4 linked regions of the Macaca mulatta genome follow. The protein of the gene in region 3 purifies or fractionates together with the protein of the main gene of each other region. This does not show direct contact. Links are inferred from orthologs where the notes say so. Each region holds a gene or a part of one and is shown on either strand. Other genes may lie near its edges. The genes, in order: CPSF6, C1QBP, RSRP1 and PSME3.

The links.
Region 1: the proteins of RSRP1 (region 3) and CPSF6 purify together in Homo sapiens (affinity purification with mass spectrometry; 3 studies listed by BioGRID and IntAct, with this or other methods). This does not show direct contact. The link is inferred for Macaca mulatta from reciprocal best matches to the Homo sapiens genes RSRP1 and CPSF6.
Region 2: the proteins of RSRP1 (region 3) and C1QBP purify together in Homo sapiens (affinity purification with mass spectrometry; 3 studies listed by BioGRID and IntAct, counting the BioPlex papers as one, with this or other methods). This does not show direct contact. The link is inferred for Macaca mulatta from reciprocal best matches to the Homo sapiens genes RSRP1 and C1QBP.
Region 4: the proteins of RSRP1 (region 3) and PSME3 purify together in Homo sapiens (affinity purification with mass spectrometry; 3 studies listed by BioGRID and IntAct, counting the BioPlex papers as one, with this or other methods). This does not show direct contact. The link is inferred for Macaca mulatta from reciprocal best matches to the Homo sapiens genes RSRP1 and PSME3.

The regions. Positions count from the first base shown.
Region 1 is NC_133416.1:76,356,838-76,362,056, reverse strand, and holds the start of CPSF6 (cleavage and polyadenylation specificity factor subunit 6), read right to left. Parts: upstream 3,534-5,219; 5' UTR 3,450-3,533; coding exon 3,390-3,449; intron 1-3,389. UniProt on the Homo sapiens protein: Component of the cleavage factor Im (CFIm) complex that functions as an activator of the pre-mRNA 3'-end cleavage and polyadenylation processing required for the maturation of pre-mRNA into functional mRNAs.
Region 2 is NC_133421.1:6,939,088-6,944,127, forward strand, and holds the start of C1QBP (complement component 1 Q subcomponent-binding protein, mitochondrial), read right to left. Parts: upstream 3,333-5,040; 5' UTR 3,280-3,332; coding exon 3,048-3,279; intron 2,465-3,047; coding exon 2,314-2,464; intron 1-2,313.
Region 3 is NC_133406.1:215,691,781-215,696,844, reverse strand, and holds the start of RSRP1 (arginine/serine-rich protein 1), read right to left. Parts: upstream 3,426-5,064; 5' UTR 2,216-3,425; intron 1-2,215.
Region 4 is NC_133421.1:67,183,015-67,188,004, forward strand, and holds the start of PSME3 (proteasome activator complex subunit 3), read left to right. Parts: upstream 1-1,650; 5' UTR 1,651-1,885; coding exon 1,886-1,927; exon of another isoform or gene 1,928-2,434; coding exon of another isoform or gene 2,435-2,509; intron 2,510-2,597; coding exon 2,598-2,630; intron 2,631-2,720; exon of another isoform or gene 2,721-2,754; coding exon 2,755-2,817; intron 2,818-3,011; coding exon 3,012-3,116; intron 3,117-4,990. UniProt on the Homo sapiens protein: Subunit of the 11S REG-gamma (also called PA28-gamma) proteasome regulator, a doughnut-shaped homoheptamer which associates with the proteasome. 11S REG-gamma activates the trypsin-like catalytic subunit of the proteasome but inhibits the chymotrypsin-like and postglutamyl-preferring (PGPH) subunits.

The sequences.
Region 1 (5,219 bases), on a different chromosome or scaffold from region 3:
AGACAGGGTCTCGCTCTGTCATCTAGGCTGGAGTGCAGTGGCCTGATCTCAGCTCACTGCAACCTCTGCCTCCCAGGTTCAAGCGATTCTCCTGCTCAGCTTCCTGATTAGCTGGGATTACAGGCAGGCACCACCATGCCCGGCCAATTTTTGTATTTTTAATAGAGATGGGGCTTCACCATGTTGGTCAGGCTGGTCTGGAACTCCCGACCTCAAGTGATCTGCCCACCTCGGCCTCCCAAAGTGCTGGGATTACAGGCATGAGCCACCACACTCGTCCTAAACAATTCAACTTTTAAATTATTTAGTTTTGGCCAGAATTTTAAAATCTACATTTACTAAATATTGGGCTAGTAATTACTACACTTGAGTATAAATCCCAGTTTAAACTGAACTGACACACTATTGAGTGTGAGACAGAATCACTTTCTTCTCAACTTCAAGTAATATGGAGGTTTGGAAGACGTTCAAATTGCCCTTCCAACTGTTCTCAACTTGGTGACATCCAAAGACCTCTAAGAATTAAAGAGAACCCATAAGGATTAGTCAGTCCCTTGTGCCTCCTCCCCCTTCATTCTCCATTCTTAAGTTCACCTGGTGAAGAAAAGAACTCTATTAGAGCTTCACTAAATTATTATTCTCAATCTATCCCCAAACAAATTAGTTTCTGCTAAGACTGTTGAATGCCTCACTTTTTTCTACTTCAATAGATGCAAATCACGTTTTGAAACAATATTGTACCTTACCAAAATACAAACAAGCTTCATAAAAGTATGACATTTAAAATATGAGACTCAGCAGGATACAGACAAAAAAATAGTAGAAAATGGAAATAAAGACTATGCCGAATTTCAAAGTACACAAATCCAATTAGAACTGCAGTTTACACTGGAAAACAAAGTTTTTTTTTAATGTTTACAACAGTTTTGAAGCCAAAATAAGTCAAAACTGGCTAATACTTAGGAAAGTATTTTACTCAACAATAAAACAAGAGGTCAAGTCTACTATAGCAACTAGTAGAAATAAGGTCACCAGCTAGTAAAGATTAAATCAGTTGTAAATTATTTTGTGGTTGCCTCTAATGGTGGCAAAATTTTGGAAAAACATTTCAATGACAGTAACATTTTTAAAAGCAGGATAAGCTCTGAAAATAACCAACTATCCTTTTGTGACTTTTTTTTTTTTTTTGGTACAGGAACAACCACAGCAAGCAGTGGTACTGCAAAAAGATATACAAATCAATCAATCATTGATTGGCCAACGATATGCAAAGTAGCAAAAACAATGCCTCTATGTATCCTCGCCATCAATCTATTCAAACATATAAAGATCTTACTGGCAAAATTATACAACTGTGTTAGATATGTGGTACGTACCTTATACAAATCGTTGAAAAGTTACATTTAAAAGGAGTCCCTCATTGGGTCCACAAAACTAATCTCTTCTTACCTCCCACCCAGTCAGCACTTGTTACTGCACAGGGATAACAATCCACCCAGCTATCCGGAAAAGGGAGATGTCCCTCTCAAATTAAGAATGCAAAAGCCCAAACATATTTCATTAAGAGGTACTGAAAAAAGTTTAACTTCTAAAATTGTGTCCCAATTCTTCTTTTATTGTGCATAGAAAGGTGAAGCAAAGTATTCTCTTGTAAGAAAAGCTAACAAGGGCAGCCTTGAACACTTAATCGTTGTTCCTTGCAGTTACGGCCCTCTTCTAAACGCACTGTTACATTCACTTGATAAATAAAAGGAAAAAAATTTCCTAGAGGTCTTATAAGCGTTAGAATCTGTGTTGCAGTCGAGGAATGTATCTGATTTGTAACTGACACAATTCAAGCATTATTATTTAAAACAAGCACAATTTTAAAAACACAAAAATTTAAAAACTTAACCTTTCATTACAATGTATTACATTTAAACAAATCCAGTCTTCAACGGAGTAGCAAACATTTAAAGCCAACTAGTAGTTTTCTGTTTTCTAATATTTAAACCAGAACAAAGTCATTCCTGAAAAATAAAACAGTAAAGAGCTCCTGAGTTTCCTTGTTTTTAAAAAGCCTGAGCAACTAGTCACGAATATGACAGTTAATGGAGGGGGAAAAAAACACATTAAGCCAGTATTATTTTATTAAGCTTCTCATAAGGACCTGGGGAATACAAAAAAATAAAGCTTTTAGGAACACGGCAGTTAGGCACAATTTGTTTTAAATGTGTTACTACATAAAATGCAGTAAAGATACGACCAGCAGGTTCAAACCTTAAACGTCACTACTCTAGCAACAAACGACATCTTTTGCAAGGATGCCCATTATCAGACATCACAGCTCCGCGTTACCTCTAAGCAACGTCGTTCAGGAAAACCTTGCATTCTCACTTTCGCTCAACCTTTCAAAAGGTAATGCAGGGCCGGGGGATTTAACACTTTGTTTTCGAAAACAGGGTCTTATCTACAACTCTATTTTTAAACCACATCATAGGATTTGGGGTGAACGTTCTTTCATTTTAATCACTATGAGACCTGTGGGTGAGCTAACATCTTTTTGTTCCATCCAAACATCGCGCTTCCAATCTTCCTTTAGGTCCCCGGCCACCCATCTTCACAGGTATTTTCATAACAAAGGCCAAAAACGACTGGGCTTCAAAGGCATTGCAAGCCCTGGATTAACAAGGCAGGACCAGCGCACCGACTTTTATCTGTGGCTCCAAAAGTCAAATGACTTGTTGCAAACAAGCCTGCACCTCAGCCGCCTTCAGAAAGTGTGAAGGGAGGAGGAAGGCGCCACGCCGAAACCTGTCGCAAACCCGAGGAGAGCCCCAGGGACTGGGCGCGCGGGATACAAAGGGCCGTGAATGCGGCCTTCCATGAGGCGATAGTGCGCGGGTAGGGAGACAAAATGGAGCAATGGGAGGAATCTGAGCCCGAGCGGCAGCGGCGGGGAAGGGGCGGCGGCGGCGGGCGCGCGCCCTGCCGGGGCTTCCTCCTCCGGCCGGCGACGGGGGAGGGGGCGCGGCGGTGGCCAGTTCTCTCCGCCGCTTACACGCGGCCCCACCGCCCGGGCCTAGCGCGGCGGGAAGCGCCAGCCGGGTGCCGCCAACAATAGGGAGCGAGGCAGCGCCGGCGAGGGAGGAGCCGGCGGCAGCTGCACAGCCGCCCGCATCCGCGCTCCGGGCCCCGCGACGGGTCGCCGCGCCCGCGGCCCGTGAAACGACGCGGTAGAACGAAGGGCGGGGGGGGGGCCGCCACGCCGGGGGTCGGCGGCGCGGCCCAGAGGCGGCAAGGGCGCATAGTCTGCAGTCGCTTCGGCTCGCGGCCGCAGCGGGCCCCGGGTCAGCGTCCCAGCCGCAGCGCCGCCCGCATGGGCGACGGGGACCCGGGCTCTCACGTACCTGGTTGAACTCTTCGCCCACATCCGCGTAAATGTCTATGTGGTCCACGCCGTCCGCCATCTTCCCTCAGCCTCGGCCGCCACCGCCGCCGCCGCCGCCGCCTCCTCCTGCAGGTCCGCCCGCCGCGGCAGCAGCAGCGGATCTAGCGGCGGTGGGGGGCGCTTGCGTCACTTCCGAGGCCCGAGGGATGGAGGCGGGAGCGACAGGGGCCGGCCGGGGGCGGGGACTGTGCAACCCAGCCGCTCGGCTGGCTGAGGAAAGGCTGCTCCTCTAAGGGCAGAGGGCGTTTCTTTTGTGTCTGGGTGAGGCCCGGGAGTGGGGGGCAATTTCTTTGTCCTCCTCGCGCATCCAGTTTACCAGTGGGTCCCACCTGTTTCCACACATCGTCTTTTCACGTGGCCTCTGCCATACTCAAACGTTTTGTTAATATTTTCATTTATCCGTTTTTCTTACCTTTCACACATGCAGGACTTCTAAAGGTGGAAGTTATATGTTCATGGTTAAATACAAAGTGTAACCCCCGGGCATTCTGTGAGCGGCTTAAGGCCAAAAACAATGTGTTGTTTCTGCATCCTCAGAGACAAGCAGAATTTTATTTGCATGTAAACGCTAGATACCCGTCAGTGGTTATATTTGCACGCTGTTTATGTTGCCATTTCCATCTCTAATCTTCATGGGCTTCTTTCCTCTCCCCTTCTTCTCGCATTCATTGCCCTTCATTTTTTCTTCCTTAGATCTACAGTAGGTTGTCTCTGGCATAGTTCAGATGCTTCTAAAATGAATGCAGTCATCTTAGAGCACACCCAAGAGAGTGGAGGTCTCTTGAGGCCAGGGGCTTCTTTCTCAGAATCCTAGAATGTCCCAGCGGGAAGGGAACTGGAAAGGTGTCCTTAGGTCCAAACATCTCATTTTACAGAGGAGAAGACTGAAGCCTAATAGAACCTAAGTGATTTAACCAGGTCACATGGTCAATAAAGGTAGGAACATTCAGCCACGATACTTTACTCAAGGATGTCTCTCCAGTTTGAAACTTTCCCCTCCGTTCTTTATTTCTTTTTCACTCATTAAGAAATATACTATAGTAGAGCGTGTTTCCTGAGAAACTGGCGAGAAATCATCCATAGAATAACCCAAACAACATCTGTAAGGTTGGGCATCTCTAATCCAACAATTTGAAACGCTCCAAAATCTGAAACTTTTTGTGCACTGACATGATGCCGCAAGTGAAAAATTCCACACCTGATCTTATGTGCCAGGTTGCAGTCAAAATGCAATCAAAACTCAAAATAACTAAAAATATTGTATGACATAATCTTCAGGCTATGTGTATAAGGTGTATGTGAAACATAAATGAATTTCGTTTAGACTTGGGTCCCATCCCCTAGATATCTTATGTATACACAAATATTCCAAAATCCACCAAAATCCAAAATCCAAACACTTCCAGTCCCAAGCATTTTGCATAAAAAAGACTCAATCTGCACTTGGTATGGTGGAAAAAGCTTGGTTGCAGTCATGGAGACCAGATCTGGGTACCCATTTCTAATCAGACATTTTATCAGCTAAATGACCTCAGTCAAGTTTTCAACTCTCATAATCAATCTCAGAATCTTTAAAATCCAGGCAATAATATCTACCTCACCAAGGTTGAAGGTTGGTGATACTTTAAATGAGTTAATATGAGTTAATATGCAAAGTGCCCTGTCCTGTTCCAAGAATCAGTACTTAAATACTGATTCACTTTCTTTCATAGGGCGTTATAGAAGAAAAGAGACACTGAAGTTTAAAGATGAGAGCATTTTCTAGATTGGTGGTGTGGTAGAATGATGG
Region 2 (5,040 bases), on a different chromosome or scaffold from region 3:
CCGCCCCCTCGACTTGTGCTAACTAGCTGCTTTGCCAGGAAGTCACCTTTCCATAGTAACAGAGGCAGTCTGAGGTTGACACAATCTGTCTGATTCCAACTGTGCTGACCAAGCTGAGCTCCTGGGCACAGAAATGGAATGATGTTCGTCAGAGCATTATTTTTAATGGCCCCCAAATAGCTATGAAAACCTTGTGCAAATGGTTTTTAGGTGAGATTACAGAAGACACAATTGACCTGTGTAGGGAAAAACCACACTACACAATAGCCAAGAGAATTGGTACCCTACTTCACATCATACTCAAAATGAATCACAGACCTCAACTAAGAGCTAAAACTAGAAAACTCTGAAAAAATTAAGGCATAAATCTTCACAACCTTGGGCGAGGCAGTGGTTTCTTAGATGTGACACTAAAAAAAGCACAAGCAACCAAAAAAATAGGTAAACTGAACTTCCTCAAAATCAGAAACTTTTGTGTCAGAGGGCATTACAAAGAAAGTGAAAAGAAAACCCACAAGATGGGGAACAATACTTGCAAATCATTAATTTGGTAAGATCACTATACCCAGAAAAACTAAAGAATTCTTTTTTTTTTGAGACAGAGTCTCACTCTGTCGCCCAGGCTGGAGTGCAGTGACGTGATCTCGGCTCACTGCAACCTCTGCCTCTGGGCTTCATGCCATTCTCCTGCCTCAGCCTCCTGAGTAGCTGGGACTACAGGCGCCCGCCACTACACCTGGCTAATTTTTTGTACTTTTAGTAGAGACAGGGTTTCACTGCATTACCCAGGATGGTCTTGATCTCCTGACCTTGTGATCCACCTGCCTCGGCCTCCCAAAGTGCTGGGATTAAAGGTGTGAGCCACCGTGCCCGGTCAAAACTAAAGAACTCTTACAACCCAACAATTAAAAATGTAAACAGGCTGGGCAGGGTGGCTCACACCTGTAATCACAGCACTCTGGGAGACCGAGGAGGGCGGATCACGAGGTCAGGAGTTTGAGACCAGCCTGGCCAACATGGCGAAACCCCATCTCTACTAAAAATACAAAAATTAACTGGACGCATGCCTGTAATCTCAGCTACTCAGGAGGCTGAAGCAGGAGAATTGTCCGAATCCGGGAGGCAGAGGCTGCAGTGAGCCAAGATCGTGCCACTGCACTCCATCCTGGGTAATAGCAAGACTCCGTGGGGTGGGGAGGAAGCTACAAATTGTATGATTCCATTTATATGAAATGTCCAAAAGAGGCAATCCATAAAGTAGCTTAGTGATTACCTGGGGTGGCTAGAGGGAGGAATAATGAGTGACTGCTAATAGGTATTGTTTGGGGATTGACAACAATGTTCTAGAATTAGGTAGTGGTAACCGATGCATAATTCTGTGAGGACTAAGAACCACTTAATTTAATAAACTTCAATAAATGGGTAAATTTTATGCCATATAAATTAAATCACATTAAAGCTGTGATTTTAAAAAAGAATTATATATACATCATAAGGTCAATTATAAAGAAAATTCAATTTATTTATTTATTTATTATTTTTTTGAGATGGAGTCTTGCTCTGTCCCTCAGGCTGGAGTACAGTGGCGCCATCTCGGCTCACTGAAACCCGGGGGTTCAAGCGATTCTCCTGCCTCAGCCTCCTGAGTAGCTGGGACTACAGGTGCTTGCCACCACACCCTGTTAAAATTTTTAGTAGAGACAGGGTTTCAGTGTTAGCCAGGATGTTCTCGATCTCCTGACCTCATGATCTGCCGTCTCTGCCTCCCAAAGTGCTGGGATTATAGGCGTGAGCCACTGCACCCAGCCTCAATTTAAAAATCTGGAAGATGACAAATGTTTATCTGTGTAATGAGATTATGGATGACTATAAAGCAGAAAAGTGTAAACACTAACAGTTTAGGAGAAGGTGGGGCACCTGACTTAGGTCACAAACTCCCCGCCTCTGATGGCAGCCCTTATCTACAGTGGAACCCCATCCTGTTACATATAAGTTACATGCCTTGCATTTTCACCCAAGCTAAACATTACAGAGAGCAGGGTGCTACTGTATCAGGGCTGTAAATCAGAGATCAAACAGATTCTGTCAGTACTTTTTTGCGCTACATTTTTGTCTCCTTAGTAACCAGCCCACAGCAAATTTGTGTTCAGTGAATGGACTGCCTGGACCTTATGAAGCTGTCCAATTGAATCCTTCACTCTCTTGAAAACCATTTATCCACACCTGAACTCAAGGCTCTTCTAGGGATGACTCAGGACGGGTCTTGCAAGGTTAAGGGAGTCGGTGCCCTGGGATCCCCAGACCAGTACTTACTTTTCCCCGGCAACTTTCCGCACTAATTTCGCTTCTGTCCCATTCAGTTCCAGCTCCCAACCTCCAGACATCTTAGGGAGGGTTTTATGCTTCTGGATTTTTCTTTCCTCCTCAATTTCATCCTTCAGGAAATCAACAAAAGCTTTGTCTCCTAGAAAAGAAATCCATATACATAAAAAGGAAAGCCAGTTAGTCTAAAACATAAAACTATTACCCTGGTTATCGCAGCCAGAAACCTGGACTATTTCTAATCTCTCTGCTATTACAGTTACTCTAGAAGCCTCAGTTTCCTTATCTGTAAAAATACCATAATATTAGTGGGAAGCTGAGCCTGATGCTGGAAAAGTGATTTCCAACAATGAACGCATTACCACTTTCCGCTATAAAGCAGAAGAATTTCCGATCATCCTCTTCCACTTGCCAAACGATAGTTGTATCGTATGCTATTTTCAAACACGACCTTGGGCTTTCCCAAAAGTCCACTTTCGAGAGAATAAGACTAAGGATGAAGGTACCCTCTAGTATTTAATTTTATTCACCCCCCTACCAACAGAAAATGAAACTGGTGGATAGGGGAGGTGGGGGGAATATGATCACACGTGGGTTTAACCCGCTGGTTGCCAATCAATGGAAAAATGTCCCAGACCTCGGAGGTCGGTTGCAGGCCCCACTCCTGGTCTTTTCCCCTCCGTGAACCGCAAACCACACCCCTGGCCCGCGTGCGCGAACCTCACCTTCAGTGTGCAGCAAGCCGCAGCCACAGCCACAGGCGCAGGGTCCTCGAGGCCGCAGGAGGCCCGGCCGCCGCTCGGAACCTGTGCGCACGCTGAGCAGCCCGAAGGGCCGGGCGCACAGCCGGGGCGCCGGCTGCAGGAGCTGCCGGAAAGGCGAGGCGGGCGCGGCAGCGCGGAGGCTGGGGACGGCGGAGCCCAGCACACGAGGCACGCAGCGCAGCAGAGGTAGCATCGCGCAATCCACTGCGAACACGTGCAGATGCAAAGGACAACCCAGGCCCAAGTACCCCGCGACCTAAAGCGCCGCCGGAAGCCCCGCCCTTGCCCGGAAGCGCTTCCCGCGCCGGCGCACTGAGGACCTAAGGCCCCAGGCGGAATCGCGCCTTCTGCTGGAGGCCTCCTGTGCAGCCCGGGAAGCCTCGAATCCGGTTTCCGGAGCCTTCTTGCTGCGCTGGCCTGAGTCCTCTGTCCGAAGCTGTTTAATTATTTCTAGTGGCCGCTTCCACCTACTGTTTTCAAGGCACGCCAGGCTTTTGGGCTGTGTGGAATGCACTCTTGTCTTCCCCCAGCTCTCACCAGCCCCTTACACGGTCACTTTCCTCTAGGAGGCTGTGGTGTTATATTATGTATTTATTGGTTTTCATCCCCAGTTCCTGGGTCGTAACTCCCATAGCCCTCGTTACAGTGTTCTGTGATAATGTTGGGTGTGTTAGGCCTCAGGAAACAGACTCTCACTCTCCCCTTCTCCCGCCCTCCTTTCACCCGCCCCAATGCAGGACTCTAATCTCCCACATTTCTGATTATGGGTCTTAAGTCCCTTCCCAGAGAAGGTCCCACCCTCTACCCTGGGGGAAGGGATGCTGATGTCCAGAAGCTTCCATAAAAACCCATGAGGACAGGGTTTGCAGAACCTCTGATAGCTGAATACGTGGAGGTTCCTGGAGGGTGGTGGCCCAGGGACGGCGAGGAAGCTCGGAGCTTCTTCCCCACTGCCCACCCTGCTCATCTCATCTGTATCCTTGGTAATATCCTTTATATGAAACCGGTAAAAGTGTTTCCCTGAGTTCTGTGAGCTGCTCCAGTGAGTTAATACAACCCAAAGAGGGGGGTCGTGGGAACCCCCACTTGAAGCGGGCTGGTCGGAAGTTTCAGAGGCCCAGACTTGCCATTGCTGTCTGAAGGTCGGGGCGGTCTTGGGGACTGAGCCCTCAACCTATGGGATCTGACACTGTCTCATGGGATCTGACACTGTCTCCAGGTAGATAATGTTGGGATTGAATTGGAGGACACCCCGCTCGTGTCTGCTGCTTAGTGTGGAGGGAAAAAACCCAAACCTTTGGTCACAGAACTCTTCTGTGCTGATTGTTGTAAGAGCAAAGGAAGAAGTCAGGGTTTTCCTGAAAGAGGCCTTCCTAGAACCTCCTTTTTTCCATCGGCTTAGAACTCATGCTTGTGCGCACCCAGCCCTTAGGCTTCATTCTCTTTTCAACAGAAACCTCCTGGCATTGCTGGTTTTAACCGGGTTAAACCCAACCAGACTGTGACATCCTGAAGGGCAGGATCCATGAGTAATTTCTGTGACCTTCCCTCTCTGCACCTCCGACCCTGCATCCAAGTTCTAATGGAACATCATTTTTCTGGGGACAAGAAGCCGGCTTGTATCATTTAGATAGGTCCAGAAGCTTCCATAAAAACCCAAGGACAGGGTTTGGAGAGCCTCTGATAGCTGAATACGCGGAGGTTCCTGGAGGGTGGTGGCCCAGGGAGGGCGTGGCAGCTCGGAGCTTCTTCCCTATTCCCCACCCTGCTCATCTCCATCTGTATCCTTGGTCATATCTTTTATACGAAACTGGTAAAAGTGTTTCCCTGAGTTCTGTGAGCTGCTCCACTAAATTCATAGAACCCAGAAATGGGGTTCAGATTTAGATTAAGAACCAACAATCCTACCTTCCCAGGATATACAAGCTACTAAGAAGGTGTGTCTTACTAACTC
Region 3 (5,064 bases):
CTCTGGCTGGAGTGCAGTGGTGCAATCTCGGCTCACTGCAACCTGTGCCTCCTGGGTTCATGTGATTCTCGTGCCTCAGCCTGCCCAGTAGGTAGCTGGGATTACAGGTGTGTACCACCACGCCTGGCTAATTTTTGTATTTTTGATAGAGACAGGGTTTTGCCAGGTTGGCCAGGCTAGTCTTAAACTCCTGGCCTCAAGTGATCCACCCGCCTCAGCCACCCAAAGTGCTGGGATAACACGTATGGGTCACCATGCCCAGCCTTTTTTACTTTCTTTTTTTTTAAGACAGAGTCTTGTTCTGTCACCCAAGCTGGTGTGCAGTAGCACTGGCGCAATCTTAGCTCACTGCAACTTCCGCCTCCCAGGTTCAACTGATCTTGTGCCTCAGCCTCCTGAGTAGCTAGGATTATAGGCAGCGGCCACCACACCCAGCTAATTTTTGTATTTTTAGTAGAGATCAGGTTTCACCATGTTGAAGACGCTAGTCTTGAACTCCTGGCTTCCGGTGATCTGCCTGCCTCAGCCTCCCAAAGTGCTGGGATTACAGGTGTGAGCCACTGTGCCCCACTAGCAGCTGCTATTTTCAATTGACCATTGGTGTCATTTTGGGAAACGAAAACACTTTGAATTGATTCAAAAGTACGTGATTGTCTCATCCCAGACTTGTTAGATTCAATGTCTGTATGTTTTTTCACATCCCCTTCTCCACCATGCCCAACCGCAAATTCTTTTCTGCATATTGTGCAGTATGCTCTGTTTGGGTTACTTACCTCCCTAATCCAGCTGTATGTGTCCTTCCATCTGTCATTAAAATAACATAGCCGTTTATGTTAAACAGCTTTGGTATTGTCTAGGTCACACTGGTGTTGGTATTGTACTTGTCATTAGTTTCATTATCTGAACTCTAAGAAAACATGGTCACAATTCACAAAGTTTACTGTCTATCTACATACAAAGCACACAGTTAAGTAGACTGTTAACACTCAAGATTAGGACTCACACTGTACATAGTTAGAACTTAAAATTGCTCTGAGAGGATGCAACAATGGATGATCCATTATTGTGAACCACAAGTCATGGCTGCCAATTCAGAGGTTAACAGAAGGCAGACCATAGCCATATTCACTTAAGGGTTGTCTTCAGTCTCTTTTTGGGTGGGGGGAGGCACTATACAGTTTTTGTGTTCCTCCCATCCCCAACTTTCCTCACTCATTGCTGAAAATCAGGACTTTTTGCACTCAGGAGTTTCCTAGAATGTGGGACTTTCAGGGACAGTTCCAGGCTCACCAAAAGTAAAGTTCATTCCCCTCCCATTTTCATGGGTGAGAGCCTGTTTACTATTTCCAGATCTGCTACTTTGACTTTAACAAATTATATTTAGCCTTTCTGAGAAGTATAGAAGTTAAATCAAATAAAAAATTTTAACCAGATCTTTTGGAAGGTTTTGTTTGGATACACCTGAAGTACTTACCTCGAACTTTGTGGCATATAGTACAGCTGTTGCACAGTTTGTTTCTTTAACGATAGGAACAGTTCTGAGACCATCTGGCAAGTCAGGGTTGGCTATTCCTAAAGATTTAGCTGGGCTGGCTTTTGCTATTTCTAGCAGCTCCATTTTATCTACAAAAGACAAACATTCATTAAGTCCCAAAAACGTAAAGAATGACAAATTAAGCATTTATCTTATTAATGAGAGTAATATAAAGATGTTCACTCATGTTTATAAATATTTGACAATCATGTTAAGGTCAGTAAAGATAAAAAAGGGTAGGGGCAAAAAACACAAAGAGAAAGGAGAGTTAATATCTTTTCTCCCGCAGTCATTAGCTTATTAAAAGCTGAAATCAAGGTTTGTTTAAAGCTGCTCAGAGCTGGTAAACTAATGTTAAGTCATTAACAGGAATTTAAAAGGTTTCATTAAGAACTGCCTGCACTAGATTCCTCCATCCTGAGACATTAAACAATCACGATAAACCTCCTGAGTGGTAAGAACGTGTCCATTTAAAAATAGGATATAGATTATACTATGTAGTTTTATCTACTAATCGGTTAATGCCCCCCCACCGAAAACAAACAAACAAAAAACCCAAAGGGATATAAGTTTCATCCATCAAAGGAAACAACAGTCATCATGGTTTCCATCCCATTCATATACTGCCGCCGTACATGTAAATCAGATGAACCTGCGCGTAGCTCTTAACAAGTGACCCACCTTTTTAACTTAAGTGAAAGGAGGTTCTGCTCCGGGACCTCTTCCTGGATCTCTCCCTCCACCCTCTGTGTTCTTTCGGGTGCACCATAGGGTCAAAGCCGCAGCAACGCCGTCTCTGTGTGATCGCATAATGCCCTTCTGTAGCACGACCTTCCCCCGAGAGTGACCAGCTACCGGACAGGCACCACGGAGGGGTACCGAGCACCTCCCGGACCGGCGGCTGCAGGATCGCGAGTGCCTCCGCTAGGAAGACCGCACGTTGCCCCTGTGCTTCCTCCGGTGGCGCCTTCTGCAACGACACCTCGACCCTGCTCCCTCTCTGGGGCTGGATCTGACTCCTCGACGGCGATCCCAGACGCGAGACCCAAACTGACGGCTTCCAGAAGAGGGGCCAGCCCGGCCACAAGTCGTTCACGTAGCTAACACATCATTGCTTCCGGCTTCTTACCGTCCTCCCCTTTGTAAATGGTCACCTCCCGAAAACCCAGGCTCTCCTCCAACAGTGGTTCTCAAGCGAGGCGATCTTCCCCGAGGGGGAGGATATTTGGCAAAGTCTGGGGACATTTTTGGTTCACTGGGGCTGCTACTTGCATCTACCGGGTAGAGACGGGGGATGCAGTTACACATTCTAAGCAGCACGGGACATTACCCTTCCCAACCCAGACAGAATGAGCCGGCCCAAAACGTCAGTAGTGCCCAGGCTGAGAAACCCTGCCTTAAACAAACAGCAAAGAAAGGCCAAGTCCCATAAGTGGGTCACCGCGCCGGGACCGGGGTCCACGGGACACCCCAGCCACACCGAGCTGGGAAGTCCCCGCCTCCTGGAGCTGAACCCGCCCCTCTACCAGAGGTGGAACCGCGAGGGGGCGGGAACAGGCACGGAGAAAATAAACAAGACTAAAAAGTCCTGAGTAGCGCTGTGTGGCTGCAAACCGGAACCCAACTTTTGCACCACATGGGACCCGGCACTCTTCCTGCCACCCACACCTGAGACGGCTGGGGGGCCGACCCCAGTACTAGAAAACACTCGTCACCTCAATCAAGACGGGTACAAAGGCCAACGGATACCTTCCTTTAGAAAGCTCAGCACACAGAGCAACTTCTCACGCCTACCCTCGAAGGGCGTACTCCAAGCTAGCACTTCCGACGTCCAGCTGTGATCCCAAAGCTGCGGAAAGCCCCGCCAGCGAGCGCCCGGGCCTGCGCAGACGCGTTGGCGTGGTGGGCGGGGCTCCCTCCGGACCCGGCGTCCCGCCCTCCGCCCCGTGTCCGCATGCGCGGCTGAGCCGCGGGGGTGGTACTGCTGCATCCGGGTGTCTGGAGGCCGTGGACGTTTTGTTTTCTTGGCTGAAACCGGTGGAGTGAGGCAGCTGCGCGCGGCGCTACACCGGGCTCCGGAACCACTGCACGACGGGGCTGGACGTAAGTGTCGGGCGGGGAATGGGGGCAGGAGAGGAGCGGCTTCAAGGCTGGAGAGGCCTCGGAGCCGGGACCGTCTGACGGGTTGGTGCCTACAGCACAGGCTCGTTGCCGCCACCCTCCGGGAAGCCGCAGACCGGGGCTGAGCCCCTGCAGACCTCTCCTCTCCTGGGTCCTGCGGCGCCTGGAGAAGGCGACCGCGTCCAGACCCGCCAAGACGGAGACGGGACCGCGCCCTCCCCCAGGACATCCCAGGATTCTTGGAAATACCCCGGTCCCCCACTTTACAGCTGGACAGGCCGAAGCTCCGAGAAAGGAGCGTGGCCCGTCCGGCTCCCTCAGCGAGGGGCGGCCGGGCTGAAGGTGGCTCCCCCATCTTCCAGCCGCGTCCCTCGAGACCTAAAATTCCCAGAGTTTGGAGGGCGGGGTCTGGCTTGAGCGTGCCAGTCGTCGTGCAAGAAAAATGGATTCGGGGCGGGGCCATTGGGATGAACCGAAAGTAACACTGGATTGCAGTTCTTCCCGGGGAAGAATCGAATGAGTGAATTTCCTAAATTGAACTTGTCCCAAAGACATCTTAGCACTGGCTGTAATCATGTATTTTAATATTTAATTTTTGAAAGAAGTTAAAAATGGGAGACGTTGCTCTTTTTTAGGGTGTCATATTTTTGGACAACTATAATTGCTGGCTGCAGAGTAATTTAAGGGACTCAAGTTCGCTGTAGGAATTAGGGTGTTCTCAAGTTATACGTATTTCAGGTTTTTTCATACTCTGAAATAGAGATAACATGGCTGTGTCTCAAGTCAGGTCTGTACAGCTCGGCTTACAGGAGTGTTTTATGTAATTTGTAAAGACAGTTTGGGTCTGCTATATTTAAATAGTTGGATTTTTGTAATCTGAATTAATATTAATCACAATTTTGTGCATTTTTTTGGCTGGAAACACCCTTTAGGATCAGAGATAGGGATATTAAAATCAAGTGGATGTTCTTTACATAGAAATGACACCAAAAGGCAGGCTTGCAGAAAGAAAAACAGTGAAGTGAATGAAGTGAAGGGAAATGATGTGGGTAGAGGTAAGAACTGCAGTGCAATGTTTAATTTCTTAATTTAGGTGTGAAGAAACACACGTTCTGTGATAAAATATGTAAATTAGAGAATTATTTTTCATTTGAATCTGTACTTCCACATAGAGCCACAGTTTATCACTTGTCTCTCTACTAATGTTAGTACTCCTAGGCTGTAAATATCAAAGTCATCTAATAAGTTTGGAATCAAAATGATACAAAAGAGCTCTTGTGGATTAGTAATCATATACTTGATATTAAAAGTACCACCTAAACTAATTCAATACCTACTTAGAAATAATGGGATGTGACAGATTTTTAGGAGGAGGTCAACCAGTAGTTAAAATTTTTCAATATTTGGAG
Region 4 (4,990 bases), on a different chromosome or scaffold from region 3:
TACATATATTATTTCTAATATTCACAACACTACAATATTACATACTATTATTTATTACTAATTATTAAAATTCCATTTTACAGATGAGGGAATTGACTCAGGATTTCAATAATTTGCCCAAGATTCCAGTTAGTAAGGAGCTGAGGTGGGATTTGAGGCACAGGTCTCTGATTCCAAAGGCCATAGTCAGTCTTTTGTGCTTTACTCCATTTAATTGTGTATTCCCCTCATTCTCCTAGCACTTAGTAGAGAGGCCAGTCTAGGATAAATGTTCAACAGCAAGAGCGACCCCAAAATATAAATCTGATGACCTCTTTTTGCACTTAATCTAGATTGTTTACTAACAACCCTCCTCACCCCCAGCTCACCAGTCTTTGTCTTCAAGACAGTCTCTTTCCTTCCCTAGAGCATTTGCTGCACTTATACGTCTCAAGGCTCTTCTCACTCTTTCCATGCTAACCCCTTTATGTCCTTTAGATCGCAGCTTGTCTCTTGTTCAGAGGCCTTCCTTGGCCATTCGATCTAAAATAGATCTCTGGTATTTTCTATGTCATACACTTGTTTCCTAATATTTATCAAATTTTGCAGTTACTTTGTCAGTTTACTTTCTGGTGTTTTTCCAATATTATGCCCCATGAGACCAGCAACCTTGAATCTTGTTTGCCTTTGATTTCCCAGAGCTGTGCTGTTCAATACAGAAGCCAGCAGCCACATGTGGCTACTGAGCACTGTACTGTAAATGTGTTATTTTCTTATTGAGATGTGCAGTTAAGTGTAAAATATGCACTGGATTTTGAAGACTTGGTATGAGAAAAGAATGCATAAGATCTCGATTTTTTAATGTTGATTACATGTTGAAGGACTTGGATAAATTGGGTTAAATATATGACTAAAATTTTCACTTATTTTACTTTTTAATTGTGGCTAATAGAAGATTTCAACCTACATATGTAACTCACATATTTCTAGAATCTGAGACAGTGCCCTGGCCCATTTTATTGAATGAAATATCCAATGTCGAGAGAGAGATCGAATGAATGGGTGTATGAAGAGGTATAGTCTTAAGCTTCCATTAGGCAAATAGATACAGCACTGCCATAGAAGTTAGGAGATCTGGGTCCTGGCTCAGGATGTACTGGAAACGCCTTGGACAAGTCTTGCCCTACTCTGGGCATCAATTTGCCCATTAGGTAGTTGATCTTTGAGGTCCGGAAGCTTACGACAGTCAGTTGGCAGGGAAATGTACCAGGAAAGCTTGGTACAACCGCACTTGTGTTTTTCGCTCTAGCCTAAACACTTGAGCCTCGGCAAACGGGCAGAGGCAGCGGGAATCAGGGACTACACCCCCGAACCCAGTACCCGGGTCCCCGACTTCCCCGAGCCTACGTCACTGGGGCGCGACGGCGCTGTCCCCGGGACTGCAGCGACTGAGGTCCCTTCGGTGAAGGCGAGTTCCGGGCCAACAGAGAGGGTCGCACCGTTTCCGAGTCTTTCGGAGGCTCAGTTCTCAGCGCACCATTCCCCACAGCTCTCCTTTTTACTTCACCCCTACCCAACACTTTACCCCGGGGAGCATCCAAACCCGAGTCTCATCGCGGCTGCGCAGCGCACGTGCACAGCCTCGCAGGAGTCTCGGCGATTGGCTGTGACGCAGTTTCCGGCGTGAGCGGCGAAAGCCGGGAGGGCGAGCGAGAGAGCGACCAGGCAGCAGGCTGCCGGCGGGCGGGCGGACGGCACGGAGGGAGGGAGCAAGCGAGCAGTGAGTGAGCCAGCGAGGGCGGCCGGGTCCCGAGGTCAGCCGAGATTTCTCAGGTCCCTCCGGCCCCCTCCCTGGAGTCCACAGCGCCTCCGGTGTCCAGCGGATCGGACACGGCCCGGCCCGGCCATGGCCTCGTTGCTGAAGGTGGATCAGGAAGTGAAGCTCAAGGTAGCGGCACCGGTCCGGCCTTTTTGCCCCTCGCTTTGATCCCCCAGCAGTCTGACTGGCTTCCTACTCCCCATGTCGTCTTTGTCTCCCTGGGGATACCAGCTCTGAGCTTCCGCTCAACTCAGCCCAGCCCCCAACTCCCGGGGTCGGCTTCGCGGGAGAGGAAAATATAGGATGGCTTTCTGTACCGCGTCTGATGATGGAGAGTCCCGGGGACACCTCCGCGGACACGTGTTGGACTCAGGGCTTTAGGCCAGTGACAGCTGGAAATCCCCCAGCCCAACAACGTCCCTGGACACTGCCTCTGCCCTTGGTGGCTGGCCTGCCTGGTATCATAGGCCAGGTCTGGGTGGGGGTTGGCACGTTTGTGAGCTCACATCTTTCCTAACTACCTGTCTTTTGTCTGCTTATCAAATTCAGACAGCTTCAGACACAGGAGGGAGGGAGGGGAGAGGAGAGAGGAGACAGGCAGGTGCTGCCCTCAAAGCCCTGCTTTCTTCTCCTGAGATGGAAAAATGGATCCTCAAAAAAATAAAGTATTTGCAGTCTGGGGGCCTCTCAGCTTCTTATTACAGTTACAAGGTGAGGGAAAGACAGTTGGATTTGGGATTCTCTATCCTGCTCTTACCTCTGTCTCCAGGTACTGAATTGCTCTCTTTGTTAATTTTAGGTTGATTCTTTCAGGGAACGCATCACAAGTGAGGTGAGTGAAATAAATAGAAAAATGAGTGTTGGTTGAGAGTTTCCCAAAGAGGAGATATCTGTAGAGAGAGAGAGAGAGACCTTCCCACAGATATTAATTCAGCTATATTTTCCCTCCTCCTTAGGCAGAAGACTTGGTGGCAAATTTTTTCCCAAAGAAGTTGTTAGAACTTGATAGTTTTCTGAAGGTGAGAGACCCTTTTCTTTCCTCAAATTCCCCTATTTTTTTGGCCCTGGTATTACTGTCAACTGGAACTAATTGTGTGTTGATTCTTCTTTTTATTTTTTTAAACTGTAAAAGCGCTTTCATTTCTTGCTCTTCAATCAAATACTTCTTTGTTCAGCTTGAAAAGATTAATGTTTTGGGGTGGGTGTCTTTCAGGAACCAATTTTAAACATCCATGACCTAACTCAGATCCACTCTGACATGAATCTCCCAGTCCCTGACCCCATTCTTCTCACCAATAGCCATGATGGACTGGATGGTGTAAGTGTCCTATATTTATCTTTGTGTTCTTGAGCAGTAGGTCCTCTGTCCTCTGTTTCCTTGTCAGTTTAAGATGTACAGAGGCAACAGTGGGATTTGGATCTGGGAACTAGGACTGTTACAGACATGATGACTCTAGTATAGTTGTTTTATTTCTTATTTATTTATTTATTTTTGAGAAAGGGCGTCACTTTTTTTTGCCCAAGCTGGAGTGTAGTGGCGTGAGCACTGCTCACTGCAGCCTGGACCTCCCAAACTTAAGTGACCCTCCCTCCTCAGCCCGCCAAGTAGCTGATACTACAGGAGTGTGCCACCATGCCCAGCTGATTTTTGTATTTTTTGTAGAGACAGGGTTTCACCATGTTGCCGAGGCTGGTCTCAAACCACTGAGCTCAAGTAATCCACCCGCCTCAGCCTCCCAAAATGCTGGGATTACAGGCGTGAGTCACTGCACGAGGCCTCCGGTATATTCCTTTTAGACCCTGAGTTTCATTTACGATGTGAAGTGAATGTGCTAATGCTACTCTCAGTGTTAGAGTGAGTTTCAAATAAAAGAGAACTAGCTTTGGCCAGGCGCGGTGGCTCACACCTGTAATCCCAGCACTTTGGGAGACTCAGGTGGTTGGATCACGAGGTCAGGAGATGGAGACCATCCTTGCTAACATGGTGAAACCCCATCTCTACTAAAAATACAAAAAATTAGCTGGGCGTGGTTGTGGGCGCCTGTAGTCCCAGCTACTCGGGAGGCTGAGGCAGGAGAGTGGCATGAACCCAGGAGGCGGAGCTTATAGTGAGCCGAGATAATGACACTGCACTCCAGCCTGGGCAACAGAGCGAGACTCTGTCTCAAAAAAAAAAAAAAAAAAGGAGAGAACTAGCTTCATCAGGTTACCTGGTTTTTCCCATGGTTCTGAACAAGACTTAACTTTGTTTCTGTGTCTTGATAAGTGTTATGGGATATGAAGTTCTTGCTGTGTAACTGCAATCGCTGTTTTGCTGTACATCTTTAACAGCTAGTCCTTATCAGTCATGTGTCCGCATGCTACTATAACACTGATGATACTGAATTGTTGTCTGTAGTACCGCCTCATTGACAGAACTTGTACGTCTGGAAGGCAAGAACTACCTTTTTTTTTTTTTTTTTTTTTTTGAGACAGTCTCACTCTGTTTCCTAGGCTGGGGTGCAGTTGCGCGATCTCAGCTTCCTGCAACCTCCCCCTCCCGGTTTCAAGTGATTCTCCCACCTCAGCCTCCATGTAGCTGAGATTACAGATGCGCGCCACCAAGCCCAGCCAATTTTTAAATTTTTAGTGGAGACAGGGTTTCACCATGTTGTCCAGACTGATCTCGAACTCCTGACCTCAGGTGATCCACCCGCCTCAGCCTCCCAAAGTGCTGGGATTACAGGCGTGAGCCACCGTAGTCGGTCGGCAGGAACTATCTTAATCTTTGTATTCCCAGCACCTAGTGTTGATCCTGGTCCATAGCAATTGCTGAATGCATGGTTGTTGACTGAATAATGTGTTCCTTTGTGGAACCAGAAGATTTGTACGTATTCCCTTAATTATCTTCCCTGCTTTGATAGGTTCTTTTTTCCTATTCCTTGTAATACTTAATATGTTGTATTTCTGGAAAGATTGGTCTTCCCAACTACAGCATAATTTGCTTTGTGGCAAGAACCTTTTCTTTCTTTTTCTGAGGGGGGACAGAGTCTCACTCTGTCACCCAGGTTGGAGTGCAGTGGCACAATCTCAGGTCACTGCAACCTCAAACTCCTCGACTCAAGCGATCCTCCTACCTCGGCCTCCCAGGTGGCACATGTGCCATCACGTCCAGCTAGTTTTTGTATTTTTTTGTGGGGACAGGGTTTCCCT